Linked DNA regions of Schizosaccharomyces pombe. The gene in region 1 interacts genetically with each later gene. Each region holds a gene or a part of one and is shown in the gene's direction. Other genes may lie near its edges.

The links.
Region 2: mutations in slx9 (region 1) and sce3 together harm fitness more than expected from each alone (negative genetic interaction), as found in Schizosaccharomyces pombe (one large-scale study listed by BioGRID).
Region 3: mutations in slx9 (region 1) and pom34 together harm fitness more than expected from each alone (negative genetic interaction), as found in Schizosaccharomyces pombe (one large-scale study listed by BioGRID).
Region 4: mutations in slx9 (region 1) and dph3 together harm fitness more than expected from each alone (negative genetic interaction), as found in Schizosaccharomyces pombe (one large-scale study listed by BioGRID).

Annotation. Positions count from the first base shown.
Region 1 is NC_003424.3:493,819-502,125, forward strand, and holds slx9 (ribosome biogenesis protein), read left to right. Parts: upstream 1-4,238; 5' UTR 4,239-4,352; coding exon 4,353-4,355; exon of another isoform or gene 4,356-4,396; coding exon 4,397-4,912; 3' UTR 4,913-5,209; downstream 5,210-8,307. Other genes in the region: dop1 (family protein DOPEY), read left to right, coding at 1-567, 605-797, 849-3,871; erd1 (EXS domain-containing protein), read right to left, coding at 5,466-6,587; SPOM_SPAC227.19C (uncharacterized protein), read right to left, coding at 7,299-7,430, 7,548-7,667; rRNA processing protein Rrp15, read right to left, coding at 7,949-8,307.
Region 2 is NC_003423.3:1,771,674-1,780,844, reverse strand, and holds sce3 (translation initiation factor), read left to right. Parts: upstream 1-3,875; 5' UTR 3,876-3,947; coding exon 3,948-3,951; exon of another isoform or gene 3,952-3,988; coding exon 3,989-3,999; exon of another isoform or gene 4,000-4,040; coding exon 4,041-4,131; exon of another isoform or gene 4,132-4,295; coding exon 4,296-5,356; 3' UTR 5,357-5,676; downstream 5,677-9,171. Other genes in the region: SPOM_SPBC18H10.05 (WD repeat-containing protein), read right to left, coding at 1-831; tif307 (translation initiation factor eIF3g), read right to left, coding at 6,933-7,770, 7,812-7,822; long-chain-fatty-acid-CoA ligase Lcf1, read right to left, coding at 8,596-9,171.
Region 3 is NC_003424.3:1,792,313-1,800,553, forward strand, and holds pom34 (nucleoporin Pom34), read left to right. Parts: upstream 1-6,701; 5' UTR 6,702-6,815; coding exon 6,816-7,505; 3' UTR 7,506-7,741; downstream 7,742-8,241. Other genes in the region: poly(A)-binding protein Crp79, read right to left, coding at 281-1,639, 1,711-2,185, 2,277-2,454, 2,540-2,660; protein Mmc1, read left to right, coding at 3,988-5,568; mrx11 (uncharacterized protein), read left to right, coding at 6,035-6,523; glucosidase II alpha subunit Gls2, read right to left, coding at 7,900-8,241. UniProt on the Schizosaccharomyces pombe protein: Has a role in meiosis.
Region 4 is NC_003424.3:2,853,488-2,857,408, reverse strand, and holds dph3 (diphthamide biosynthesis protein Dph3), read left to right. Parts: upstream 1-1,714; 5' UTR 1,715-1,746; coding exon 1,747-1,789; intron 1,790-1,831; coding exon 1,832-1,893; intron 1,894-1,952; coding exon 1,953-2,087; 3' UTR 2,088-2,240; intron 2,241-2,318; 3' UTR 2,319-3,004; downstream 3,005-3,921. Other genes in the region: msh3 (DNA mismatch repair protein), read right to left, coding at 1-1,478; rpl4102 (60S ribosomal protein eL41), read left to right, coding at 3,490-3,560, 3,613-3,619.

The DNA of each region.
Region 1 (8,307 bases):
AATAGCGATTCTGCGGAAGCCGTAAAGTTTATCCTGGACAGTCAGAACTTCTTCTTTGAGTCTATAAATACTGAATATTCATTCATAATTTTCACAAACTTACTTATGCATCTTGAAAAAACGTCTCCCAACTCTGATGTTGATGGGGTTTCTATGACTATTTTGACTATTTGCAAAATTTTATTGAATAACTTCGACTGGAATTTTTTTAATTATAATAATTCTGCTATTGACAGTTATGCGAAATGCACGTTAAACTTAGACTCGGACTTTGAAAATGGCATATTAACTTATGAGATTTTGTATAAAAAATGCAAATGTTCGTTATTGTCACTGTTAAAGCAATACATAAAAGATTCTCATGTTCATCATGAAGTTTTATTAATATCTCTTAATCTTATCAAGGAAGCTTCAGACACCGAATTTGAAAATGAGTTTCTTGATCTATCCTTACAGGGATTTAAAGATAATTCGTGGAGTTTTCAAACCCTTGGTAGTTTTGTAAAGCAATTGCCATCAAGGATTTTGATTAACTCTACAGCTTGCGTCAATGTGATTTTGGATAGGGTAAGTACTTATGATATCCAACGTACTGACTATGTAGATTTGGTGTGAGCTATGTATGTTTTCTTATTTCAGAGAAGAGGAGCTTTTATCTGTTATTTGGACCCTCCAAGAGAAACTTCAAACTAGAATAATTGAATCGTACTTTTCAACGTGCATTGTGAAAGAGCAACTTGAGCTGAGAGCTCCAACGATATACTATACACCTTTCTATAATCTTTTAAAGAAGAGTGGTAAGTTTTTCTTGTTTTCTTTTCTTTTTTTACTGTTTTCTAACTTTCAAGCTCAACAATCTCTGTTTCATTTCGTTTTTGACAGGCCCCTATTACTTTTATTAAATTCATTATTAGAAGATGAGTCTGGGAGAGATTATACAGCAATGATGAATTGGATTAATGCATCAAGTTCTTTGCAATTACGTGTCTTGGAACTTATGACTGAAAATTTATTGAGTTTATCTCCCAATCTAACCAGTGTCAATTCTCTGGAAACGGCTATGACCAGATATAATATAAATGAGGACCAGAGAAATAGTGAAGCTAGTCGATGTGTATATTTTCTAAAACTTTGCACTCGTATAATTTCTTATTTTCAAGATCTTCATCCTAAAGAAGGAAGACTTAAGAGTGCGAAGCAGGTAGAGGAACTATGCCTGGTCACTTGGGCTGACGCCCTTTTGATTCAAAAAAAATCTTTAACTTACTCTTCATTTCTTGCTTTTTTAGTCAAACTGTGCTTAGATATAGTATTAACTCCTCAAAACATAAAAACGAGCACAGATGTGTATATTATTCAAACCTGGGCTTTGCGATTGCTTTACCAAATAACCTCCATATGGGAAAACCCTCTAAAATTTGAATCTAGTCTAATCGTTGGGTTGTTTGCGCTTGTACAGGAAGTTGAGCGTTCTCCTTCATCAACTTATCGAAGTTTTATTTTGAGTCTTTTGCAAATGCTAGAATTTTTACTCTCTCGATTAGATGGGACTATAGATCTTTCCTCTGAACAGCATTATCTGTTGTCCAATTTTGTTTTGGTTGGAATGTTGAATGATGATCCAGGACTTTCGCCAAAGTGGCTACATGCTATAAAGAAGCTTTTACCTCTTCTTTTACAAAACCTTCAACTTTTGATGGTTAATCCCATTCAATCTTTGTGCAAATTTGTTCATTCATTTCTTGACCAACACGAGTCTATGTACCTAAAATACCCTGACCCAGTAAAAGATTATGCGTGCATGGATGTTTTTATTGCTAAGTTGAAAATGCTTAGCGAGTTAGTTTCAGCAGCCTTATTGGAATTCACATATTCACCCGGCCCCAAGAAAAGTAATTTAGAAGCCAATGGTATCATCGGAAATGTCATTTCTGGTGTGTTTGCAGCGGAGTCGTCAGGCGTTAGCATCGATGTCAACAAGAGATTATCTATGCTTTTAACTATGCAGGATGCTTTGCAAACATTATTTTTATCATATTCATGGCATATTCGGTCTTCATATGCTGATAAAACGTCAAAAGTATTTATGAATGATTCATCGGTTTTAAAAGAAGCATCCTTATCGGGATTAAAAGAGTTTTACTTCTGTGAACCTCTTGAATGCGTAGAAACGCTGGTACAAATCTATTTGGAGAACAATGTTGAGTGTTGCCAGTGTATATGGGATATATTTTCATTTCTTAGTGATTCTGAACCTCAGTACATTGTTAAGCAATTAGTTTCTTCTTTTTTTGCACGTGAAGGAATAGCTAGTTATGCAGGGCCTTCTAGTTTGACAGCAAAGATTACACAACTCGATATTTTATGCTGTATGTCTGACTTCGTCTCCAGAGTGGAGGGCGAAAACACATCTAAGATTTTTACGGAAATTTCAAAATTTGTTCGGGAGATTATTTCTTCCTCAAACAGCTTTAAAAACTATTTGCTGGTATGTTTACGAATGCTACTGGAAGTTGCAAAAAACGTGAACACTTATTGCGAATCTCGCCAGCAAAAAGACTTTATTGATTTGATGGGGAAAACATTGTCCTCAGTCTTATTTCATGCAGGAAAATCAAGTGATCCAAACCTAACTGTAGATTTTCTGGCGTATCATAAAGCTGCTGCAGACACGTTTGAGGTTGCCAAAACACAAAAGAAAACTAGCTCCGTGTATTTATTCGTAAAATACTTAGATCCCTCTTTGCTTGACTTTTTCTGTTCTGAGTTTGTTCCAAAAATAACCGAGCTTTCTAAGGAAGAAGATAAACTAGTTGCTTGGGCTACATCAATCGTCAATGTATTTATAACTCCTTTAGTAAAGGCTAGGACATTTCCGGAATCACTCACCACTTATCATTTGGACTTATTGCTCGTGTTGAGTAAACATCCGTTTTTGAGTAAATCATGGAGGCGCGATTTTTGGGAAATTTTTAATGATAATTCACTGTTCAGGTTCGATATTGATCAATTAAGAAAGCTTTCTCCAGTAATATACACAGCTTTGTACCAAGAGATATCTAGATTAAATGATCTCATAACAAAATCTGATTTAGGCGTTACTACTTTATTTACATCTCGGGATACTCAACTAGGTGCAAGGCAGAGCAACATATGTCGGATCACAATATTAATGTTATCTTCTCCACGTGATTTTTTCCTGCCTAGTCTTCCACCTCTGATTGACCTTGTCAAACGGCTTATAACGTCTGATCCTGAAGGAGTATTAAAAAAGGACCTGTTTTTATTTATTAGAGCTCTAGCTTTAAGGACCTCTTCGAAGCATTTGCTTCCATTATGGCCAATCGTTGTTAGCGAATTGTTGATCATTTTTAAATCTTACTGTATGCCAAATGTTGCCATTTCTAAAGAGACATTATTAGACGCATGCAGGCTTTTGGATTTTTTAACTGCACTCAAACTTGAAGAATTTGCGCTACATGAATGGGTTGTGATGCTTAGTCCACTAGATGCTGTCTATTGGAGCGGAAAAACTAGCCGTAAATCCCTCGTACAAAAGGTTTCTGAGCGACTTCAGGAGCAAGCATCGGAGAAGGACGACAAATCCAGTGTTGAATCCGAACATTCTATTCTTACTTCAACTACAAGAACCCCTTCTTTAGGCATTTACACAACGGACGCTCAATTAAGAAACTTTTTAAATCGCATTTCTATAGACGCTTATGAAGAAAGCTACTCGTTTTCAACAATCGACATACAATCTTTTGAAAATTCTATTTACAGGGAAGTTCTTCAAAGGTTTTCTAATGCTCCCCTATCTCCCTTTTCTTCAATTAAGGCTCCATCAAGCCTGGCTGGCTCCAGTAATTAATTCATAGTATTTTATATCGATTAGGAAGTCTAGGCTGTGTGGCTTCTTATGTAACTTCCAGTTACTCTAACCTAATTATTTTTGTATGTATTTTCTTTTCAAGTTTCAATGTTTATATTCGGAAAATGGCTATAGGGTTTAGTTTGCAAATACTTTAGGAACCATGTTGGACATTCATTTAAAACTGCTTTAATTTATAAAAATTGTTAATTAATGTTGTTTCTTAATTCATTGCACATAAGATGGAAATTAATGTAAGTTAAGTTTTTCATTTCAAATACTAATATTATGAAACCAACTTACGCAATCAAGGGCAGTCCGTTAAATCCGATGCCAATAGTTGTAGTGAATTTTTAAACCAGAAAGCACACCGAATATTCAAGATATTTCACTCCAATCGTAAATATTATTTTGGTTATATATCCTATTTAACATTTAAAACGATTTTTATCGATTGATTCACAATCAATTTTATTTTAGCATGGTATGTTCATCCATAGATAAACGTTTGGCTGACGACAACAGCCAAAAGCAAAAAAAAGAGTCAGTCTAGCGTCAAAAGCATCAAGTCGTTTACCGTCTTCTGGTAAACCTAGCCAACAAGCTAGTATTCCAAATGTCGAGTTATCTTCCACCGTTACTTCGAATAGTCAAGTGCTCAACAATGATCCGCTGAAAGAAACAAAGAAAGATAAACGGAAAGACCGTCATTTCAACTGGCAGCAAAAATTTTCTAATCCAAAAATATCTGCTTCGGCTCGTAAGCGCCGGAACCGTAAAGCCAGAGAAAACCTGAAAGTCAATGTGTCTTCGATTGGAGAAGTACTTCCAGAAATTGATCTTGATATTTCGGTAGCTAACTCCAGGTTGAAGCCCGTAATTAAGGATAGTTTATCTTCTAAACAAACTAAGAGTTCTATGAAACGAAATACCGTTGAGGAAATCGAAAGGTTCCAAGCCATATTGAAGCACCCTTCATTCGTTTCAAATCCTTTGGAAACGGTACGGGAGCACTTAGGAAACTCTTTGGATAGTAGATAAATAGAGCATGCTCATGTCTAGGTAAATTTGGAAGGAATTTGAGTACACTATAAATGCATGATTAATTTGGGGGGTTTTCTTTGGGAGGTTCTTTTCATACTTACTGATTATGTTTTTACAATAAAAAAGTCTACTGATCTAGTTTGTTATTCAGTATGCAAAAAGAGAGCTTGATTTATTTATTTATTATTAAATTCATGTTTTAAACTTTTGACTCAACAACTTAATCAGTAAAAGATGGTGAAATTTGTTCAAACCCATTACGATTCCCATGTAACAAATAAAAGTATATATCCATAATAAAATTTTAAGTAACTTTCTTACTTTAAGTAAACCCAATTCAGCGAGACGGTGCCATTGTGTTGCAAGTCCGCAAATGACAATGTACTTGCAATATTAAACCATTAGCGCAATAAAAGAATGAAAAACATATTATATGCCAAGCAAATAATAGAACGGTAAATTGATACGCCCTAAAGAAAGAAATTTTTTGAAAAGGTTGCAGATGTAATACCTACACATATGTGACAATAGTAACTTCAATCATTTCCATTTAATCTGGATGTATTGTCGGGATGTCACTACGATCACTTATGTTAACATAGGCCAATGATTTAGAAGCTTCGGCTTCTATCCGAAAAAAAACCCAAACACAACGTCGGAAAACTTCAAGAAATTGCATTATAAAGATCCCAAAGTCGGTGGTAAAAAACGCGGATTGATGTTCAGGCAAAACGCGAACTACCCAGGCCATTCGCAAAACAAAATCAATCGCACTTACAACTGCAAATGTGAATGTTGGGAATAAACGCCGAACCCCAAATTTCCAGTTTTGGATTGATAACGGTTGCTTAAAAAAGGGAAGACTCCAATCCATTGAAACATCCCACCAAAATGAATAAGTTGAATTTATAGCTGAAGAGGTATTCCATAAAAACCATAGAAAGCTAAATCTTTTCTTTGCAAAAATCCCAAGGAATATCGCTGGAAAAGCAGTGAAATACTTGATAGAATTCAATGTACTCCAAAATTTATCTGATGAATTATCCGCAGAGCTTCTTTCAATCAAACATTGACGAAATCGGATAGCGTATGGATACGCTGCAATCATTGACATAATAACCTCATTTTCATATTGTTTTCTATGAGAGTTATTAGGTGAGTCAGTTACGTAAATCAAGATTGCTCCAGCTAGCCAGAGATCAGCAATGACCCTCGAGTAAGAAGTCAATAAATCAGAAAATATAACATCGGGAAATTTGTAATCAGGTCTGTAGCTTCCTCCCAAAATCCTTAGACACTGTCGAGTAAACACCTTTCTCTGGAAGAACCAGAACTTATGTACAGGCATAAAAACAATAACACCAAAAATAAAAACGGGGACGTATGCCAATTCATCAGACCCAGAAATCAAATATAAGGATTCGGCTATTACGAAAAGTAGAGTACCTAATATAGATAGGGAGAATGACAATTGCCATAGAGGAGCATTAGCTTGCTGTGATCGATTGACAGGCAACGGAGTATGTAATAATGAGAACACGTCGACCCTATTTATCACTAATAGATGTAATATCAATGTGAAAGAATAAAGACCAAATACGACCAAGAAGAATAATCTCAATACTAGAGGAAAATAATTGATAAAGTGATTCAAATCCTCTATCAACGCCATATTAAATAAAAGGGAGAAAATCTGAAATAATATATTAAAATAAACTTGAATGCAATTATACAATGGATGAATTTTTACAAAGAGAGACGCAAACAGTGTAAAATATGTCGAGTCAAGTTGTACAGCCGATCTTCTAATTATGATGATAAAACTTGACTCATAAATAATGAAAATTATCAAATAAAGGGTTCTATGATGATAGAGATTAGCATTACTGCTTGAATGTCGAGAGGTGCGTTGTGGAAATGAATGCAATAGGGTACACCAAGGTAAAATCTTAAATACCACCACAGCCAAGAATCATGTTGGTCTCTACAAAGAATGGTGGGATTTTACAGTAAAACTTAAAACATGAAAAAGTAAGGTGAATTTTTAAATATATGACGAAACTTGTGTTATGCTGAATATTAATATTAAGCTGACAATGAGTGGTTTGGTTTAGTAGCATATAGATGATGCGAGTAGAGCAAATGGGTTACGCTTAAAGTAGTATAACAGATTTTGTTGAATGGAACATCAAACGAATCAGGTTAGAAAATGATCGTAGATAAATTTGATGGCTCAATCATCTGATAACCGTTCACACCTCAATTTACTAATTATGCTTGAACTCCTTAAAAAAGTCTTGAAGTTGATTCACAATCCTTTAATAATACAGATTGACGGTTTTCGAAAAATGGAGAGCAAATGCTTATTCATTACTTTAAAAATTTATCGGCGCATAGCGCTTGGAGAATGCCGAAAATATTTGAGTCCAAGCCAATTAAAGAATAACCATACGAAAAAAACCACTGTACAAGTCAGAATTAATATACATGGATAATAAGAACGAATAGGTGAAACCTGTTAAAAATATTAGAACCAAATTTGTACAAGATAGAGAAATTAAAACATATTGGTACAATGACCCTGGCAGAAAATATTCGACGATGCCATTGAGATTTTAGCATCATAACTTACATCGCCATCAACATAAAGTGGTATCTCAACAAAGTTAAATATAGTCATAAGTCCAAATACAAATAAAAACCAACAGGTAAATAGCAGTAAGTATCCATTAGATACCATCGAACCCATCATTTTAACCGTATTGATAGGTATCTTCAGGCACGTTTTAAACAAAATATGATGAGTAGTAATTTAATTATAACCAACGAAACCTAACTAAATACCTTTTATAAAGAATCTATACTAGTTGTACAAGAGCAAACGTTTCGCAGAGACAACAAAGTAAAAGTACAGAATCTCCTCAAATGTTAAAGAAAAAAGGAGAATTAAAAGAAAAACATTAAAAGAAAGCCTTAAAAAACCGTGTTAAACTAGATCTGGGATAGTATTGCCCTATTTTGAAAGTTTTCCCGTTACTGGGATTTTATGAGGTCAAGGAAGCTCGCCTTTGAGAGCTCTTTGACTTTTTGCTCACGAGCAGTACGACCACCAGAGATGTTTTCTCTATTTAAAGAGCTTTGAAGTTGAGCAGTACGAACAGCATTGAATAATTGAACTACACCTCTGCGAGCAATACGGCGAAGCTCACGTTCATGGGTGAATAAAGCTTTTGCTGTTTCAGCGTTAACTGCAACAACGCTCGTAACACGACCAACCATCTCTTTTCTCAATCTTTCACGTCTTCTAGAAGTACGTAGTTTAGAGTCTTTTTTTTCCGCATTACTTTTTCGTAAAGCTTTTTTAGATTTTTTAGACAAACTTAGAACCGGCG
Region 2 (9,171 bases), on another chromosome or scaffold:
GGTTCTATCCGCAGAGCTAGTTAATAAAAAATCATTTTTGCTCCATGAAATGGAAAGGACTTCTGCGTTGTGACCTACACATTCTAGGACAGGTTCAGGTTCAAAAATGCTAGAAGGGGTAAAGAAACGACCACAACTTTGAGGACCTTCTTTGAGTAAAGTTTCTCTTCTTTCTGGTGTTTCAATTACTTTCCACACACGAATTATTGCATCTTTACCAGCGGTGGCCAGATATTTTCCACTTTTGCTAATTTCGGAGGCCCACACAGATTCTTTAAATTGAGAAGGCTCCCATTGCATAATTCGCTTGCCAAAAATAGTTTTTGACTTTGGAGCATCAGCCGGACCTATAACTTGAGAAACGTAAAGTTTTTGATTAAGTGTGATCTCCTTTTTGGGCATTCGTTTACAATGGACGGGAACGTAATGTCTCTGTCTTTTACTATCGATCTCACCACGATCAATCAAGTTCAGTAGAGATCGATCATCATCTCTTCCGGCCAATTTTTCCGTGTTTGGTGAATTCGTCTCGGCATACGTAGTAGAGTCTCGGGGTGTGTTAACTAAGCTAGAATTGTCATCATTATATTCGGTGTTCATACCAGTGTCGTTTTCTACATCTTCATCTTGTTGAATTGTTAAAGGTCTGAAGGGTCTTTTTTGAGATCTTGTGGATAATCCACGTACAGGGGTGGCAGGCGGATGTTCATCGTCTGTTTCTAGTTTGTAGGCATCATTGCCTGTACCAGAATCACTGCCGTTCACAGACACTTCTCTAGAATGTACTGACACATTATCTTCTCTTCCGGTCTCAGCAACCAAAACGCGCATCTCCAATGCAACTTCTTTTTAAGGTATTATTTTATATGAAAGTTTCCAAACAATACCCAAATTAATTCAAATAGGGAGGTCTTGAAAATGCAAACAAAGCGGAATTAGGAAATTAAAGAATAGGGAAGAACGAAATAGGAGGGATATAAAAACGCAAAGTAGATTGGGCAATCGAATAATATCAATGATGAGGGAATATTTTTTTATTGAGCAAGATAGAAAAGAAATTCGAGTAAAAAGGGAGATTAAAGGTGGATAGGAAAAAAAATGGAGATAATTAAATTTTGAAATTATTCGCAGAAAGTCGAATGCTTGGGAAATGCTATACACAAACGCTGTAGATGAAATACCAAACACGAGCAGAACTTCGGCATAGACTTTTTGTGAAATAAAAAAGAAACTTAAAAAGGATGCAACGAAGAATGGAGTGAAGCTATAATCAACAAATCAATCAATCAATCGGTATATGCACTTAAAATTTGAACCAGCAAATACCACTCGTAAAACCAAAGATGAAAATCAATAGATAAAGGATAAAAAAGAAAAAGAAAAAGAAAATTTTTAACAAAAAAATAATTTTGAGCAGAAAAGGCGTGGCTGTTGCTCAAATTGAATTGGAATTAAAATCTCTCTCTACTGTTTGCTTTTGCCGCTAAAGAAATTTAAAACGCAGACTGCACCAAGAGAACAAAATTTGTGTTTCAATTCCTGTTATAAACACACAATTTAAGTAAAAAAAGCAATAGCAGTGTAAATGGTTAAATTTCCGTTGTTTAATTCATGTCATAATTATATATACTCAGAATCCCATAGTCGTAGTAAGAAGGTAACAACGACTGGCCAGTAGCGGGAAACGCATTTTAGGGAACAATCCCTCGATAGTAAGATAAATCCATTTTTTTGAATTTACTTCCATTAATTAATAAAATCGAAGCAGAAAATCTGATTATAACTAAAAGAAGACTATTATAAATGTTACTTTCTTCTTTTTTTCATCATTATCTGCGGTTAGAAAAAAAATTAGAAATAAAGGATTCGATCTTCGTCAATATGACATTTTGGGGGTGTAGGGCTAATGAAACCAGCATGTTGGGAAATCCTTCAAAGCCACGATTTTTATAGAATCTTTTAAATTATAAATTCCTTTTTAAAATATATAATTGAATTTAGAAATGGCATAAAGGAATTGAATGAAATTTTTAGATTGGTTCGCAACCTGGATGGCAACCATTTGTTTGTTGTAAACAATACCTCTTTATGCGGATGCTTCTTTGTAAATAAAAGAAAATGAACATAAAGAATCCTTGAGAAGAAAGAAATCATAAGAAGAGTGAATTTGAACAAAAAAACAAGTGACATAAAAAATATAAAATGAAATAAATCGGTTTTCTTTGTTATCTAATTGTTAAAAAGGGCTGGTCGGTAATTAAATAAATGACTGCGTCCCACCAAGAAAAAAAGAAAGACCATTCCATTTTAATTTCAAATTCACACGTTTCTTTTATTAGATTTTACTTTCTTTTCAAATTCTTCCTTTATCTTTGCTCCAAGTCAATGAAACCCTTTGATTAATTTTTTCGATTTTTTTTTTCTAACATTATTATGATTTTAATATATTTTAATGGATTTTTTATTGTTTCAGAAATTTTTCGTTCTCCACTCAGCTCTCAGCTCACATTGAATATAGATCAAAGACAATTGTCTAAAAAAATAATAATAAAATAATAAACATCCGAATATCAATTGAAAACTGTATCATCCTCATTTTCTCTTACTATCCCAACCAGCCTTTGATGATAAACATTGGCAGAAGCGGCGGCCCTTTAACTCTAATGCGGGAACTTAAAATGTACCAACAATGGATCAACTTTCGTAACTTGATATATCTTTTAAAAATCGTGTAGATATTATCAATTGCACATATTCTGGAATTCCCAATTCTTCTTGTCTTGTCTCTCATATTACACAACTTGTTAAGCATAGACTAATGCATCTCGTCATACAACGTTAAAAGATAATACTGTGTCAGTGAATGAAAAAAGGATGATAAGCTGAATAGAAATGAATTTCAAAATCGCCGTATTTAGATTAGAAAAATTCCTTGCAATTTTGCTTCACCACCTTATTGTCTTGTTTACGTTTGTATCCAAAACATCGATTCATTTCTGTGCAAGCACGCGTCCTTTTCCTTTTCCTTTCCCCTATAATTAAGCCAATGTGTTTTTGTTTTGTTATAATTCCATATTAGAAAAGGAATCTGCAAAAAATGAAGTCTAAACACTGTCCAAACAGTCCAGTTCGCTGAGAAGTTTAAGTTTATTACTCTCAAAAACAAATTCAATGGTGTACAAAACTGATCATCATTCATCCCTTGAGACTATAACGTTCTCGTTTTTTGTTGATCGAGCTCAATAATAAATCATTTATCATTTATCAATGATACGTTTTTTCAATAGCGATTTACTTCAATGTCAAACCATGGTTGAACAAATCGTAAAGCCAATTTTAATCTTTGCTTTTGGTTTATCGCAAAATCAAATCTCTGTTTTCTGATTGAACTTCAAGAACTTTTTTTTAAACTATTATTTTATAGGAATTATTAGATTTGTGAAAGCTGACATCAAATACGGACTTCTTTCAAAAAAAAAAAAGGAAAATCATTTTCTCCTATCACAAGTATATAATCCCAAAAAAAAGACTTTCCATCAAATTGCAAACGCTACAATGGTTCCATATCCAATTTTCCATTGATTTATTTACAATAAAAAAACTACTTCCATCCAATCCTCTTTGCTCAACACGCTACTTATCGTTATGCGATTATAATGCTCACATTCACAAAAATTCCTCCATGCTTGATTTACCGAAATGATTTAATCCTCATTATCCATGACTGTGAGGAATAGAGACGTCTCCCAATTCTCCCTTTTTCTCGCCTTAGCAAATACAGCAGGCGGGAATGCTTCAGTCGTTCTACTATTGAGCAGTCACGGCATCACTGGGCTACGCTCTTGTGGACCAGCGCGCCAAGAATCGCAAATATTAAATCTGTCGAGAACGACGAAGAAAACGATCTTGTTAGTAAAAAGTGAAGATCTAAAAGAAAATATTTCATAATGGGCAAGTTGTGTTTTTGATCATGAGTTATTAATAATAGGTCCGAAAAAGGTTTGTTTAGGTAATTAGGCATGTTTGCTGAACGATATCAGAGTACGAAAATGAGTTTGAACGCCTTTTTGGGTGACGAGTCGTTTGGTTCGACTAACTGGGCTGATGATATTGATGATTTGCCAGCTTTGCGTAAGTATTTTGTTTTTTATAATGGAAAATTTTGGATTGAATTGGAGTGGGGTGTTTTTTAGGAATCCGAAAATTTCTATTAATTTTCGGCTCTCATTTTTGGGCTCCATCATTTTTCTATTTAATCTTTTGAAATTGCTTAGCTAACTCAATTTATCTATTAGCCCAAGACCGCACCACATCTACGTATCGTGCTACTCCTAGCTCTGCTGACGCCGGATACAATGCTCCTTCTTCCACGTTTGAGTCAGTTAGAAGTCCTCCCGAAAGCCGTCGCGAGGGTGGAATGGGAAGTGGTTACCAACGTGATGCCATTCCCATCCCTTCTGAACCCCCTTTTACAGCTCATGTTGGAAACTTGAGTTTTGACTTAACAGAAAACGATTTGGGCGACTTTTTCGGCGAAGGTGTCACTAGCATTCGCCTCGTCATTGACCCTCTCACTGAACGCTCTCGTGGCTTTGGATATGTTGAATTTGAGACCGCTGATACCTTGAGCGCCGCTTTAGCCTTATCCGGTGAGGATTTGATGGGACGTCCAGTCCGCATCACTGTTGCAGAGCCTCGTCGTTCATTTGCCCGTGAAGAACGCTCTACTGGTGACTGGGTTCGTCGTGGACCTCTTCCTCCTGCTGAACCTGCTGAATCTCCGTTTGGCAAGAGACGTACCAACAGTGGTCGTTTCCGTGATCCTGCTCGTGATCCTTCCGATCGTGTTCGTGAAGAGCCACGTGAATGGGTTCGTCGTGGACCCCTTCCTCCACGTGAATCCTCTGAGCGCCCTCGTCTTAACTTAAAACCTCGTTCCTCCTCCAACGTCAACACCGAAGCTACTCCCTCTGCTACCACTACTACATCTTCCAAGCCTAAAAGAGATCCTTTCGGTGGTGCCAAGCCCGTAGACAATACATCCGTGCTTCAACGTGTTGAGGAAAAACTTGCCAAGCGTACTCAGAGCTTCCGTCGCGAGGACAATGCTAACCGTGAGCGTTCTACTTCTAGAAAGCCTTCCGCTGATAAGGCTGAAAAGACCGATAAAACAGATGCTATTGCTGAGAAAGTATCAGATATCCGTTTAGGAGACGGTGAGAAAAAGAGTTCCGAAACTGATTCGGAGGTCGCTGCGACTAAGACTCCTGCCACTGAGGATGCTCCTGCCACAAACGCTGGCGAAGCAGAAGAAGAAGAGGGTTGGACGAAGATTGGCAAAGGCCGTAAACACTAAACCTTAAAAAATGTCAATTTTATGTTATTTCGCTTTGACATAAATATGGAAGTAATGTTAATATCGTTGTTTTGGGGTTCTCTATATAATAAAACAGGTATAAATAAACACATACACTTTTCCATTAAATCGAGAGATTAGCTGCTAACTTATATTTTAAGATCTCTTGTTTGTTTCTGTTTTGATATTTTCTGGTTCCGCCCATCGGCTTTGCATCTGTTTCAATTGCATATAGAAAAAAGCGGGTTGACTAAGCATACTTTTCGTTGATTTTATTCTTATAATGGTGCCTTGGTCGTTTTAGGTTAAATTTATAGTAAAATTTGTTTTGCACTTATATGTCGATGTATGTTTGTTTTTTGTCATGTAATTAATAGTAGTATATATTACTTTGCCGTCTTAGCAAAGATTAATGGTCATTAAAAGTCAATACTATCGTATGAAGTGAACCAGCTATTTCAACGGATATGAGAGTTATATTGTTAAATCTTTATGACAAATGTGTTCTTAAAACTTGCTATGCCTTTGAACACAGGATAAAAACTTATAAAAAATATGACCCCTAAGTGACTTGAACACTTGACTTTGAGATTTGGAATCTCACACTCTACCAACTGAGTTAAGGGGCCTTCGCTTGATCTCATAAATATTTAATATTATAGATATTAAAAAAAAGAATGTACAGCATAAGTTGTAATAATGAAAGTCGAATTGGTAAAGTCAAAACTGCTTAAGTAGTCAGTTGAAAAAATTAGCTTTTCTTTCAGCTTAACCTAGAAAGCCTTGGTGTAATTAATGAAGACACAAACGAGAAAGTTGCTTCAAATTACAACATTAATGGATTTTGCGAATCCTTACACTCTCCATGTAGCACTACATGCTGAAAAAATAACAAATGGTTTTGGAGCAGTTATAACAATGGAGTACAAAAAAATTTTCTAAAATAGTTAAAATTAGTCAGTTTAAAAACCCTTATTTTTTCTTAACTCGTCAAGTACACCAGCAATCTAATTTCGCGCGTAAAAATTTGTTTCACAATCTGAAAAAAAAGGTACCAAAAGACCAATCATCAAGGCAAGTGTACAGCTTTAAACCATTCATGATATTGCTACAAAATACTAAAAGTTATTTCAAAAATTTTTCAGAGGCAACCATTTCAAATATAAAAAGTATAAAGAGGAAAAGAAAACAAACGATAAGTAAATGAAACCTAATTTTATTCTTTTAAATAGCAAAAGCAGAGGAACAAAACGTAAGGATCCTTTCCAATTTAGCATAGATTTATGAGACATACCATGGGACGATCACTACGCAGATACAACCCCAAAAAAGGAAATTTTAGCATTCTACCAAACCCAATGCAATTAGGGATAATAGAGCCTGAACAATGTCAAGCATTAAAAAGTATAACATATGAAAGCTCTCAGAAACGGGTAAGGTGGTTAAGACAATCCGAGGGATTAGACTGAATACATGGGTGAAAATAAGGGAACGATTTATGGAAGAAAAAAGAAAATTTTTTATATACGTAGACCTTTATCCAATTTCAAGAAATTTTTATATAATTAAAAGAAACTTAATCTCGAGGCTTGGAGAATTCACATCGTAAAATCAAATTGTTCCAACCGTAACCATCCAAGCGATCACGAGCCTTGATAGCACAATCTCTATCGTAATAACTGACAAAGGCAAAACCTTTAGCACGACCAGTTTCCTTATCCTTTGCCAAATATACACGTTGAATACCACCAAAGCGACGGAACAAATCACGAAGTTCCTCTTCACGGGTATCATCAGATAAGTTAGTGACACGAAGAGTGGCACTATCATCACGTTCACGTTTGAACATAGAATCACCACTCTCACGCCCTGAGCCAGCACGAAGATGAGGAGCTATATAACGACCCTTTTCGCCCAAGGCACCACTAGCCCTTGAAGAAACAGGACTAGCATCCAAGGGAGGCTCATCAACAGGTCCAATAATGCTCTTGTAAGGACATTGAGCGGTAAAATGGTTACCCTTACAAGCACGACAACGAACCACAGAGCTACCCTTTGCCTTAACCTTAGCGGCAGCCAAAGCAGCCTCATCTTGCTCCTCTTCCTTCGTAGTAGTCCAACCAAGTTGAAGTCTTAACTGAACATTTTCGCCAACACTAGTGGTTCTAGCATCAACACCACTGTTCTTGCCTGCTTCCTTTCCGAATTTTTTCCATTTCTTACGCTCCGCCACAGCGTGTTGCACCCGCTCCGTAATAACGGTTTTCCGTATAACTCTGGTAACCTTCACCTTTTTGCCATTATCATCAATGCGAAATTCAATCATGGTTTTTGTGCCATCGGGATTATCAAACGTCTGAATCGAAGGCAATCCAGTACCATAGTCCTCATCGTCAGCCCAATCCAGTGATTTCCTACTTTGTTAGTTTCTTTCACAAAAAAATATATTACATACGATGAACTCATTTTATAGACAAAAGATGTTTGAAGAGGGTGAGCCCTTCATCACCAGAAAATTTGTTGTAGTGTTGAATTAACATACATTAGTAGAAGTTTGATATACCAACATAGCAGTCTACGTTGCAGTACACTACTTGAACTTTTCTTAAAAAGGAGATGATACCTTGCGACTAAATTAGTTTAAGCTTTCTGTTGCTACTATTAGAAAAAGCGGATGAAATTGTGGATTTCAAATTGAAGGGATCGTTAATAACCAGGACAAACTTCGCACCGGTCATCTCAATTCAATCGTCAGTTGAAGCCATAATCTGCAGATCTCTATTACCGATCACTATAAATAGCCAGGTTTTGCAATACCATCATCTTCTATTATTCTGTACAAAGCTCTTTAAAAAATTTCTCAATTCCCGTTAATATAGATATTATCAAAATACAAAATAAAAAAATAAAAACCCAGCATCATTGAACTGGGTATAAGAACATCTAGCTAAAACACTATAATCATACCCGGATGGGAATTTGGTGCATTCATAAATCTAGCATTCATGATTAAATAAGGACAAATGTTTTGTTGTAATAAGAGAAAATGCTCTGAAAAAAAGAAAAGGAATTCCCAAAGGACTTAACAAATCTAAGTTAAAGTCCTTAGCACCAACCAAGGCGGCTGATTACTTATAGCGTTGCAAATTTGAGGTGTCATACCAACTAAAGGAGAATGTCGAGGTAAATATATAAAAGACTAAAGGCAAATATCCTGCAAACATTTTATCTAAATGACTTTACTCGGCGTAAGCGGCGTCAATTTCCTTCTTGAAACGATCCAAAATTTTGCGACGCTGTAATTTCTGAGCTGCAGTCACCAATCCATTTTCGGGTGTAAACTCAATGGGAACAAGGACGACGTTTTGAATAAGTTCGATATTAGCGAAATGATGACTACGACCAATACGAATAAGGTCGTCATAAACAAGTTGACGAACTTTCTTGTTATGACAAACTTCCTCCCAAGAGGCATCAGGACTAAGACCGGCTTGTTCAGTGGCAAGTTTACGAACGACGGGCTCGTTGGGAACGATGATTGCCAAAGGCTTCACCTTGGTCTGATCTGCATATACACAGATATTCGAAACAAGACTGCTCGTACGATAGCGAGATTCAAGCTTCTCCAGTGCAATATACTCGCCATTTTGAGTTTTGACGAGGTTTTTCTTACGATCAATAATTCTAAGCAATCCTTCTGGAGTCAATTCGCCAACATCACCAGTACGGAACCAACCATCTGGAGTAAAGCTTTCTTTATTTTCTTTATCACGGTTAAGATATCCCCGAGTCAAAGAGGGACCACGAAGCCAGAT
Region 3 (8,241 bases), 1.3 Mb from region 1:
TAAATCTCTAAACAAATCTGATCCAGCTGTCAACTTTCGAATTAATAAAGAATTATCTTTCAAATCAAATTTCCTTATAATGTTTTTGATTAAAGACTAAAAATAAACGGTTTCGTTTAAATTCCACGTTGTGGTAGTTGTAAGATACTGTAGGGTTATACTAGCAAATCCATCCGTTCACGATGTATATATTTTAAGGAGTTAAAAGTTTGTTCATCGGAGTTTTGAGGGATATAGCATTATGAATTTTGTTTCATAGTTATATCTTCACCGCATCTTGTTAAATCTGCGTCAACTGAATAGTTGTTGGTGAATTGTTGTTAACCTTTGTTGTTGATAAAAAATTTTCCTTATTTGAATCTTTAATATGATAGGAATTCATTTTTTGGATATTGGATGTAGCTTCTGGATAGCTGTCCATGTACCCGACAAGTGAAAGCATGTTCGTTGACTCATTACAGTCCTCATCTTGGAAATGTGAGGGCTCAACTGTTACGTACGTAAGAGTTGTACAGGTTGTTGCTCTTGCTCTTGGCACAAAGTATGCATTACTCAGCTTTTTGTTGTGAAGCATGTCTTGTATCTTCTTCAAGTTGGTGGCTGTTGAACCCATCTTAGCAGACCCTCGGTTATTTAGTTTTGTGTTAGCATGGAATACCAATGGTTTTAACAAGTTTCCTTGTTCTCCGTCATGGCTCAATTTTCCTGCTTCTTTCTTTATATCCAAGTTGCCTGATAACTGTCCACTAAGTTCCTTATTTTCTTGCTTACAGTTAACATATTCATTTGTCTGACTGGGTTCTTTGTTTTCACCAGTCTTAGGCTCATTCTTATTTTCAACCTTACTTGAAAGGGTCGTGGGATTCTCAGAGATTTTGTTTGTAGAAGACTCTATTGGCTTTCGGATGGTAACAGTAGAGCTTCTTTCTGGTTTGACGAACAAAGCTTTGTTGTCTTGCTGCGCTGTTTGTTCTGAAGTAGGTTTGTTTGCAAAAAATGCTTGCAATCTACGAATTCTGTCAGACTTTCGCTCCGCGAAGCAAACGAAAATCCTTTTTTTCCCAACCATCATTCCATTCAATGTGTCTTTGGCTCTAACGGCAGCCTCTATTTGACGAAACGCTACGAAACCATAACCTTTGGAGATTCCTGAATTTGGATAGCATGCTAACATGGAAGACAAAATCGACCCGAAGGGTGAGAATAAATCTTCCAGCTGACTCTTGCATGTGATGACGGTATCATCTAAATTTTTAACGTATAGATTTGAAGGGTCAATAGGAGAATTAGGGATACTTGGAGAGCTTTCACGTAAAGAGTCCCAATGCACGATTGACTGAGGTTTATTATCTGGGTTCCAAGCGGCTGGATGATTTTGCTGATTTGAAACACCGGTAGTTGAAACGCTACCCCATTGGCTTTTCTCCTTAGTTGGTGAGCCCATAATCCATGTCATCTTCGAACATGTAGCATTTTCGATATTTATTTGAGTTTTGTTAGCGTTTTCCGATGGGAAAGGCCATAAGCTTTCACCAGTCGGCGTTGTGGGAATTGACTTCACTGAAGAAGAGGCTTTATTTTTTATACTGACCTCTAAAATGCTTCCTTTGTATGGAACGTTATTTAATTTTTCTATTGCCTTAATAATGAGGTTAGTATCATGAAATAGATTATGCAAATATTGGGGTTTTCTCTTCATATTGAGCTTACATTTTGACATGATTCAACTGAATCCATAATCACTTCGCCATACCGGAACCCTCTTTGGTCAAGAAACTGGCTGACCGCCGTCCCTTTTACTACACCAGCCTGTTTAAAGTGGTTATATAAGTCAATCGGTGTGACTTCGGCAGGTAGGTTCAAGATACTAAGGGGTAACGTAGAAGCGAAGGCATTTGGTACAACTTGCATGCTAATATCTTCCAAACCAAGAGACGGTATGGTAAGCGTTGTTTCTGGCTTCGGGTTACGCGAATTTATGCCTCTCACAGTTTCCCAATTTCTTTCTTCGACATTTGGAATAAATTCCTTAATCTGAGACTGTTTGAGTCCTGGCTTAACGTTTTCCTCATCTGTATTGTTTTGGATGCTAGGATTGAACACGTTCGCAGTGATTGACGTATCGTTAGGTTTGAATTTTTTGTCTGTCAGTTTCGCAGGATTTACGACTCTTGCTTTAATGGTCCTTTTTTTTAGGTTAGTAATTTTTTGGAGAATGATTTTTCGATTTTTTTTTCTGTAATGCTTGTCTCTAATTTTTCCCTTCAGTCACTTACAATTTTCTTTGGCCCAGAGTCATTCCTTTAGCGTCCTTTAGAACTTCTTCAATGCTTTCAGCATTAACGAATTTGACGAACCCATATTGCACTCCATTTTTAGGAGGTTTAAAAGGTTTCGCTTTTTCCTTAGGATAAAAACTATCAAGTAATCGACGAAAGATGGATTCTACTTGTCCTAAAGAATTGATTAATATATCGCTTTTATTTATGTTTTCTAATGTTTTTCCTCGTGTTTTTATCCTTGACTTGTGTGTTCATACCATATTTTGAAAAGTGTTTGATGATTTCTTCATCAGAAAGTCGGGAATCTATATTTCCTACATATATAGTACTGCTTTCATCTTCATACTGTCCGGGGACAGAGAGTTTTGAATTGTTCATTTTATCTCAAAAAAGATGTGTGATGGAAAGGAATGGTTGTTGTTTTTGGTATATATAGGATCGCTGTTTGTTTACATTTCGATGATGCATGACTGAAACTATTACCACCATAACAAATGAGAGTAAACAAACCTTAAATTGACCTCTTAACATTTTTAGAGTAATATTTTTTGTTTTTTTTTAAAAATGCTTGTTTTATATTTACAACTTGATTTCCTAATATTCATGCAGTTTGGTTCATATCTGTTTTATCCATATCTCTACTAAATCCTCAAATCGCATTTATAATGACATTTTATTTTATTTTATTATTAAAGTCAATATTACCTGCTCGCATTAAAAAATATTTCAAATTCATACCATCCTTTTTTCGGCTTTCGCTGATTTCAAATTAAAAGTTGAATTTCCTTAAATGAATCAAAAAGCAATTAGGCTAATATTCTGGTGAATCCATTCATAAATTTTCAATTATTGTTGTTTTTGGCAAACCAACTGATATCGCACAACCTGTCAATAAGTTAGGTCAATCAGTTTATTACTCAAAATCCAGATGTTACTAAATTCTTTCATCTGCTTTTTTCTTTGGTTTTCTTTGATTTTAGAAGTATGATAGTTTAGAGCTTTACTCGCCTATATTCTTTGCTAACTAACTATACAGTATTTTACTGGCAAAAGGTAATAGATTTAGATAAAATAAGTTTGAATCGAATGACCATTAAAGTAAGTGAAAAGCAATAGGTGAAGATTTAGTGTAATCATTAAAAAGGTTATAAATGTTAGCAGTTCTCCAATATTAAGAGCAATTTATGTAGCTCATTTCAGTTCCTTCTAATCCATTTTAGACTTAAAGCTTCATTCTGTCGAATACCGTTTTCTTCAAATACTTGTATAAACCTCGGATTTTGTCACTGTTTATGAACAATGAATTCGTCTAAATTAACAAAATGCAAAATTCTTTGTTTTTTTGTTTTTATGATTGTTTGACTGAACAAATAAATAAACATATACAGATTTAAGGGTTAACAATATCCAATGATTTTCCAAGAATATTATACTGCTGGGTTAAGGTATTTTGATATAACATCTACGACACTACTCAATAGACACAACTACTATACAACCTTCGGGTGCCATCAGACAACAATTATTCACTATAGTATTTGTTTTAAGAATTATTAACTTATTAGTAAATGTTTTATTGTGTATTTGGAACTTTAACTAATACTATCTAAAATCCGGTAATCTCGTTCCTTTTTGGCTTTCGAATCTAGTGTGGTTCATATGCGATCCTTTGTTGTGATTAGTTTTTCATAGGCTCAGAGAAATTATGCTAAGATTTGGAATAAAAACATGGAAGCGCTCTGTGTTGGCGATACGCAGGTCGTCGACCGCTCCACATGTGCAGATCATCTCCAATTTGCAAAAAAAGCTGCTCAATGAGCTTTATTCTTTGAGAAGATTAGTCGATGACAATTCTCCTGCAACAATTCGTGTAGGAAATGTCTCCCTTTTGCTTTCCAAATCGAATATTAGGAGGAGGATTGCGCTACAGGCGTTAAGCTCTTCTGCCGAAGATGTCGCGTGTGTCAAACAAATCACACATGCTCTTCTCGCTGCTCCCTTTATGCCTGAGTCAAAAGAATTGAAATATGCCATGGATCACAATGGACTAAACCCACTTTATATCTCGTTTGGCACAAATGCTTTGTTTGAGCGAAATGCTAGGTATAGTACGTCACATTTATTTCTTCCAAGCGACTTCCTACAAGTCAATAATCTTGAAATTATTCACCTTCCTCCGGGAACAGTGGACTCTGATATTTTGGCTAGTTGCCATGCTCGATATATATGTTCTACTTCTTATTTAAGAATGACCTCCAGTGACTTTACTACTGCAGACACGTTGGTGCTCGATATTGACCCAAAGTTGCATTCTCTTTTAAAAAATGAAAAATCTATAATACCCGTCTCATCATCGGCTGCATTAAAAGCCACCAAAGCTCTGCAGGATGATCCCCACAACTTTCAAAATTACCAAAATCAATGGGAGCAAAGTGGATTTCAACAACTACGCACCAACATGACGCCAACAAGTGATTTAGAAATATGCAAACGTTTTCTAAATTATCTTTGCTGCTCCTTTTCTCTAACAAAAGCCGAGAAAGATCTCGTTCGCGCAACCGAATTTAGCAATTCTATGCTGATATCGATAGAAAAATGGGCCAAGTACTGTGATGTCGATCTTCAAGAGTTTGAAAAGAAACTTCAAAAGTTTTGGAAAAATTTTGGTACATTGAAATTATATTCCAACATTGAGTCGTTACCTGCAAGTCTAAAACAATTAATAAAGGATGAGTACTTACAAAAATCAAAGCTCGAATTGTCATTTATTTTAGGTGAGTTGTCGAAAAACGGTGACGATAAAAATAATTTTGAACTCGCCATGAAAGATTTTGGGACATTTCAAAACTCCCGTATGAGTGCTGTAGATCAAGCCTTACAACCTTTACGTCGAAAGACACTATACACAACTGCTTTTCAGGGACTGGGGGCTCTTGGATCTCTTTATTTATATTTTGTCTCTCATTTTTCTTTGTACAACGCCTTTAGCGTATTTTCTGTTTGTGGCGTTTTCGGCCTCTACTATTTACAGTCCAGCTATAGATCTTGGAAGAAAGAGTATTGGAAGGAATTGTTGGAAGAAGGTCGGAAATTTGAAAGACAGCTTTGTCGTAACGTTTTTGGGCGCTCTAGTTTTTATGTACAGCAGAAAACTGCAGCTGAAAAGAAAGAGCATATTTCTTTAATTATGAAAAAGTTGACGAAAACATTGGACCTTATGAAAGAATTTCAACTACAGTCAAGCTTTTCGGATAGCCCTACAGCCTCGAAAAAGCAACTTCTATGAACTTTTATGACTTAACCTATCACCCCTCTCTTGATTTAGTAACAAGGTATCGAAGTTTTATTTCTTCTGAGTTAGATTTAACATTTTTTAGGAGTAAAATAATTAATTACCTTATCTAATTTCACTTGTTAAAAATAATAGTATACGAACCTATTGTTTAAGGAAAACTGTGTAACAATGATAACTGCTCGCCCCTTAATACATATTGGAGAAAGAATCCCTTTTTTATAATGTAGTAATCAAATTACAGCAGAGTTAGCGATTTCAGTAAAAAATATTCGTGATTTTAAGTCGAGGTTTTTGGAAGATTCTAATTGTTTTCATGTACAGTAGTAGTAAAACTAGCTAGCATAAATTAAGCAGCATCCATTCAGTTTTATTTAATCAAGATTTCAAAAAAAATCGCAAGGTACCAGCTTAACATTTATACACTGTAAGCACTGTAGTATTCTTCATTAGCTCCAATATGTTACCACCAACTATTAGAATTTCAGGTCTGGCTAAAACCTTACATATACCATCTAGAAGTCCCTTGCAAGCTCTAAAAGGCTCATTTATCTTATTGAATAAGCGTAAATTTCATTATTCGCCGTTTATCTTACAGGAAAAGGTACAATCCTCGAATCATACCATTCGGTCTGACACCAAACTATGGAAACGCCTCCTAAAAATTACTGGCAAGCAAGCACATCAATTTAAGGATAAGCCTTTTTCTCATATATTTGCATTTCTTTTTTTACATGAGCTAAGTGCTATACTACCTTTACCAATTTTCTTTTTTATATTTCATTCACTCGATTGGACGCCCACTGGGCTACCAGGCGAATATCTTCAAAAAGGTTCTCACGTCGCAGCTTCCATCTTTGCCAAATTAGGATATAACTTGCCTCTCGAAAAAGTTAGCAAAACTCTCCTTGATGGTGCTGCTGCTTATGCTGTAGTCAAGGTATGTTAGTATAAATCGCCTCAATGGCATATATACATGTACATAAGAATTTTCGCCAAAATGATTTAGAAGCCCATATTTAGCGTATCTTCAGGTACAAATTTGATTGGCCAAATTTTCGCTAATAAATAAGCTTATTTTGTCGAAAATAATATGGTGTCTTCTACGCGTCCGTTTGTTTCCAACTAACATTTTACCAGTTACTTCTTCCACTTCGAATTTTCTTAAGTCTCGCGTTTACACCTACATTTGCTAAAATAATTTCTAACCTATCTTTTAAATTGTTCAAAAAAAGAATATAATGGCGAGTACATTTTCACAATCGGTTTTTGCGCGTTCTCTATATGAAGATTCCGCTGAGAACAAGGTCGATTCATCAAAGAATACTGAAGCCAATTTTCCTATTACACTTCCTAAAGTTTTACCTACAGACCCGAAAGCTTCTTCCCTTCATAAACCTCAAGAACAGCAACCAAATATCATCCCTAGTAAAGAAGAAGATAAAAAACCCGTAATTAATTCAATGAAGCTGCCATCGATTCCTGCTCCTGGGACAGACAACATAAATGAATCTCATATCCCACGTGGATACTGGAAGCACCCCGCTGTAGACAAAATAGCTAAGAGACTTCATGATCAAGCACCTTCAGACCGGACGTGGAGCAGAATGGTATCCAATTTATTTGCTTTTATTAGTATTCAATTCTTGAATAGGTACTTACCGAATACCACTGCCGTAAAGGTTGTTTCTTGGATACTCCAGGCACTTTTATTGTTTAACCTGTTGGAATCAGTTTGGCAGTTTGTTCGTCCACAACCTACTTTCGACGATTTACAACTAACCCCTTTACAGCGAAAATTAATGGGTCTTCCGGAAGGAGGTTCGACTTCCGGCAAACATCTTACCCCTCCTCGTTATCGTCCAAATTTCAGCCCTTCCCGTAAAGCTGAAAACGTTAAATCCCCCGTCCGTAGTACTACATGGGCCTGAAACATTTTATTTATAGGGTTGTTTTAAGAAGTTCTTAATAAACTAACTTACTGCGCCTTGCTATGTTTTGTCTTACATGCATACTTTCATTTGTTCTGGACAATTTCTTTGTAGGGATGAATTTCTTTTTAACTGCTTCATTTCACCGACGCTTTCGTTTATTTATATTACGTTAACTCCTTCAGAAAATTGCTTAATGGGTTTCATGGTATTGTTAGTCGCAATAAGATCGAAGAAAACTTTTAATTATATTTTTTAAGCTTTATCAATTGAACGTTTAGAAATTTAAAGTGTTTGTAATATAGTCACTATTGTAATTCAGATTTGATTTAAGTATCGTTACAAAGCACCTGAAAATGACAATTTCTCCATAAACGTTAAATATTGGAATAAATTAAACCAAAAAAAGTTGTGGATTTCTTATGCATCCACTGTCATCAACTGAGACATCCCACTCAGTAACTTCGGAATCGATTATCTTACGTATTTTGATGCTTTTACGCGTCTGCTCTCCATAAATATTAATCCGCTCCACCTTCAAATGCTTTTGAGAGCTAGAATACTTAGGAGAAACGGGAGGATTAGAATGACTGTCCTTCATCGTTAAGATTCCATTTTCATATGAGAAGTGCCTAATCAGATATTCTCCCTTCTTATAATTAAAAGTTACACCATCATCTAAGTACAAGAATCCAGAAGCGTTCTTGCCAATCTTTGACACTGCAATGGTCAAAGT
Region 4 (3,921 bases), 2.4 Mb from region 1:
GACAGACCCTTTTCGAGATCGGGCAATCTATACAGCATTTTACGAATTGCTTGAACTTGACTATTAGAATTAAAGGCTAATTCCTCAACCGCGTCCAGACGCTCGATTATATTTTCTTTATCAACCAAAGGCTTTTGAAGCCATCTCTGAAGCATCCTTTGTCCAAATCTTGTGTATGTGCGATCTAACACCCAAAATAGGCTACCAACAGGTGTATGATCTGTTTGATTAACGAAAAGCTCAAGACCTTCCAAAGCCTGTTTACTTAAAACCATAGAAGAAATGCTATCAAAAGGTTGATAAAAGTTTGAAGCAACGAATAGATCTTCCAATGAGAATTCCATCAAATAAGAAATGGCCATGTCCAAACAAATGATTGAAAGAGAATGTAAAGACTTCACCTTTTCCATGTGTAATTCTATAATTTTGCTACCGGACATGATGCATTTAGAAGAAAAGAAGTCCTGCAAATTCTCCAATGCTAGTTTCACGTCCTGCTGAACAGCATGTTGCACACGCACTACTCTACCGCAAGTTTTTTCAGTTGATACGTAATGATTCAGTAGGGCAACCGATTCGGAAGATAACTTGTTCGAATATATCAATTCACAAGGTTGAAAATGAGAAAGTCTTGTTTGTAATTCGCTTCTCAAAAAATCATCTTGAAAATGATCATAAACAGTAGTTCCAGATGATAATTGTATGGCAATTAGTCCAACCTGAACTCTTCCTGATTTTGCTTTGCTCTTATCAACATTATCTGCAACACATAGGATAAATTGGGAAGCTTGTAGTGTACCATGCTGTGTTTGCTCAAAGCGAAAAAAGCTATCATCTAGAGTAGTCCCCTTGGTAAGCACGCGAGCAACTCGTCTGTCAAACAGAGTGTTTCTGCTAGAGCTAGTTGACTTGAGAGCGGCTGTTTCAGTTTGTCGAACAACAGCAACTTTGAGACCAAAATTAATGAGTCTTTCCAAGTGATAGTCAATACGATACGAGGGAACACTAGCATTTAAAAAATTGTGCTCAAAATAGCAACTAATTCCTAACACCTCAGAGGCTATTTTTGCATCCTTCCCAAAAAATCGGAACTTATATCCTACTTCAATTGCCAAAATAGTTTCTTGATAATTTTTCTTCAATTCTAAGTATTGCTGCTCAAGTGGTGTGAAAACAGATTTCTGTTTAGTAGGTTTCGATGCTTTTCTTTGCACTAATTCTTTATTTGAAGTAGATTTAACCGTACGAATTCTCCTCTTTCGTTTTATGCTTATAAGAGGCGCGTTCTCATCAATCGAAGAACTTCCCTCATCTTCTTGATAGCTATTTTTTGAACTACCAACATTATTTTCTAGTAACTCTATGGCTGGACCACTGAGGGCAACCATATCTTCTGATATTGCTCCTTCATGTAAATTATCTGATAGAATATTAATAGCGTCGCATTCATGAGTAATGTTATAACTCATTCCTCTCATGTAATAAAGCGAAAATAAAAACTGTACAATCAAATTTGCTCAACATAGATTTGTAACGCATTTATAGTTTCTAAATGAATATAGGCGGACGTTTTAAAAAATACAACAAAACGGTAACAAGTAAGTATCGTTCTCCTCTAAATTACAGTAGATTCCATTTATGTTAAACTTAGCTTGTAGTTTTCATTATGGGCGGTTCCCACATATAAAACAAATTTTTGGTGGAGTGGCCACGCACCTTCTGCCAGTAGTGCATTGAAGCGGCAAAATGTCATTTTACGACGAAATCGAGTTAGAAGATTTCACGTTTGGTATGTATTTGTTAAAAGTTGAATACTTTTGCTAATTAAAAGACGCCGGTACGAACTTGTACACTTTTCCCTGTCCTTGTGGGGATCGCTTCGAGATATCTTTGGTATGTATTGATACGCAATTTCTTAATATTTTGGAAGTTTATACTAATTCATTATTTAGGAAGATCTTCAATTAGGGGAAGATGTTGCTCGTTGCCCAAGCTGCAGCTTGATTGTCCGGGTGATCTATGATGAAGATGAATTCATGGAAGTTGATAACGATGCTTCTACAGCACCTATAATCATTGCAGCATAATTTTTCCCTATAATTTCTTATTTGGTTTTTTACTTCTATTTATTCTCAAAATGTCTTGAAATTACGAAGGATAGGAGGGCTACTCTTTACATCGTGATATCCTCAAAATTTATTTGTTTAGTTTTCTCAGATCACTGGTTTTGTATTGGCATAGTACGTTTGTTGTTCATTCTATTAATAATTAAACTGTATCTTTTTAGTTGAATTTGTAAGTTTTTAACAACACTTTAGGCAAGTTTTTTGAGCGTACGACTTTTCCAAAGATTATTTTGCCCATATAATACAGTTTACTTATAAAATAATTTCTATTACCACTAGCTTCCGTAAGCATGCGCACCTCAACGGTAACTTTCTTTCTTCAAAATTAAAATGAACAACGCCTCTGCAAAACATTAAGGGAAGAATGGAAGAAAATTTAAAGAGAACTTCATTAGGAAATAACAATCTTTACTCGAAACTAAAAGCCCACCTTTAGCTATTTTTGTTAAGTGATAAATTATTGCATTTCTGCGTATGTTTTAACAACGCATAATTTTAAAACACTTTACGAAACGAGTTTAAGTTTATAAAATAGCTTTATAACTTATTCTTTCAAAAAAACGTTTTCATTATTACAAATAATGGATAAATGCTATTCAATTTATTCTTCGTTTCAAGATTGTGGAATTAAAATGAATTCGTACTTGTGCTCAACGTAAGTACGTATTGAAGTCCAAGTTGCGATCAATTCCACAGAATTTTGAAATTTCATTGCTAAAGCATTTGAAACTTATCAGTTGAACTAAAAGCCAGCTACTTAACAGTATTTCCATCAATTTACTTATAAAGCAATATCATTCCAGCTTTAGTGCGACATACCACAGTGGAATCTCAAATTTATTTAGAAGCTTAAAAGGGAATTTAAACATTACGCAAATGTAAGCTACGCAGTTTGGTATCTAATTTAAGGATACGTAGAACTGCGGTGAGTTTTCCTTGTGATCTATTATATTACAATACACAGGTTGTATAAGTAGCAACTGAGTATAGGTATTGTATTAACTGGGTTATAATGTTACCTATCACTAATATAGCTCATAACTGAACTGAGGAACGAGGTTCAGCAGTAGCTCTATTTATAGTATTCAGATAATATTGATCTTAATAGATTATCATTAAGATCAATCTCCATATCGTATCATACATGGTACGATATATAATTAGAACATGTGACATATAGTGATACTCAACGTAGTGTATCATAGCGTAGTGTAGTATTGCTGACAGCAAACTTAATTAACGAACTTTTTATAATATGTTATTGCATATAGCACGACGCTATCTCATATGCCAGAGCCAAAGAAACAGTCACATTTTCGTATATCTAACATGTGGCCTACAATACATTTTTACCACTGCCAAGATGCGTGATAAATGGAGGAAAAAACGCGTGCGTCGTCTCAAACGTAAAAGAAGAAAGATGAGAGCCAGATCGTAAGTCTAATATAACTGAAATTTTTTGTATTTTTTGCTAACTGAGAAATAGTAAATAGATAGGCTCATCCATTTGCGCCCTCACTAAGGAGCAATGAGTAAATTGCAATACCTTTGAAATAACTAGCTCAATTTGGCTTGCAAAGGACGCAGAACATTTACTCAAATAAAATTTCACTTTATCAACCAATTATATATATATATATTTATCATGCGTACAAGAGTAGTAATGTTTGTTTTGCAGCATGTTTATTTTGTTCTCGAATTATTAAATAGATACCCTAATGGTGTTATCTCGTCTGTAAGCATAAAGTATTTTAGTATGGGACTTAGTGGATAGTGTCATTTATGAACGGTTCGG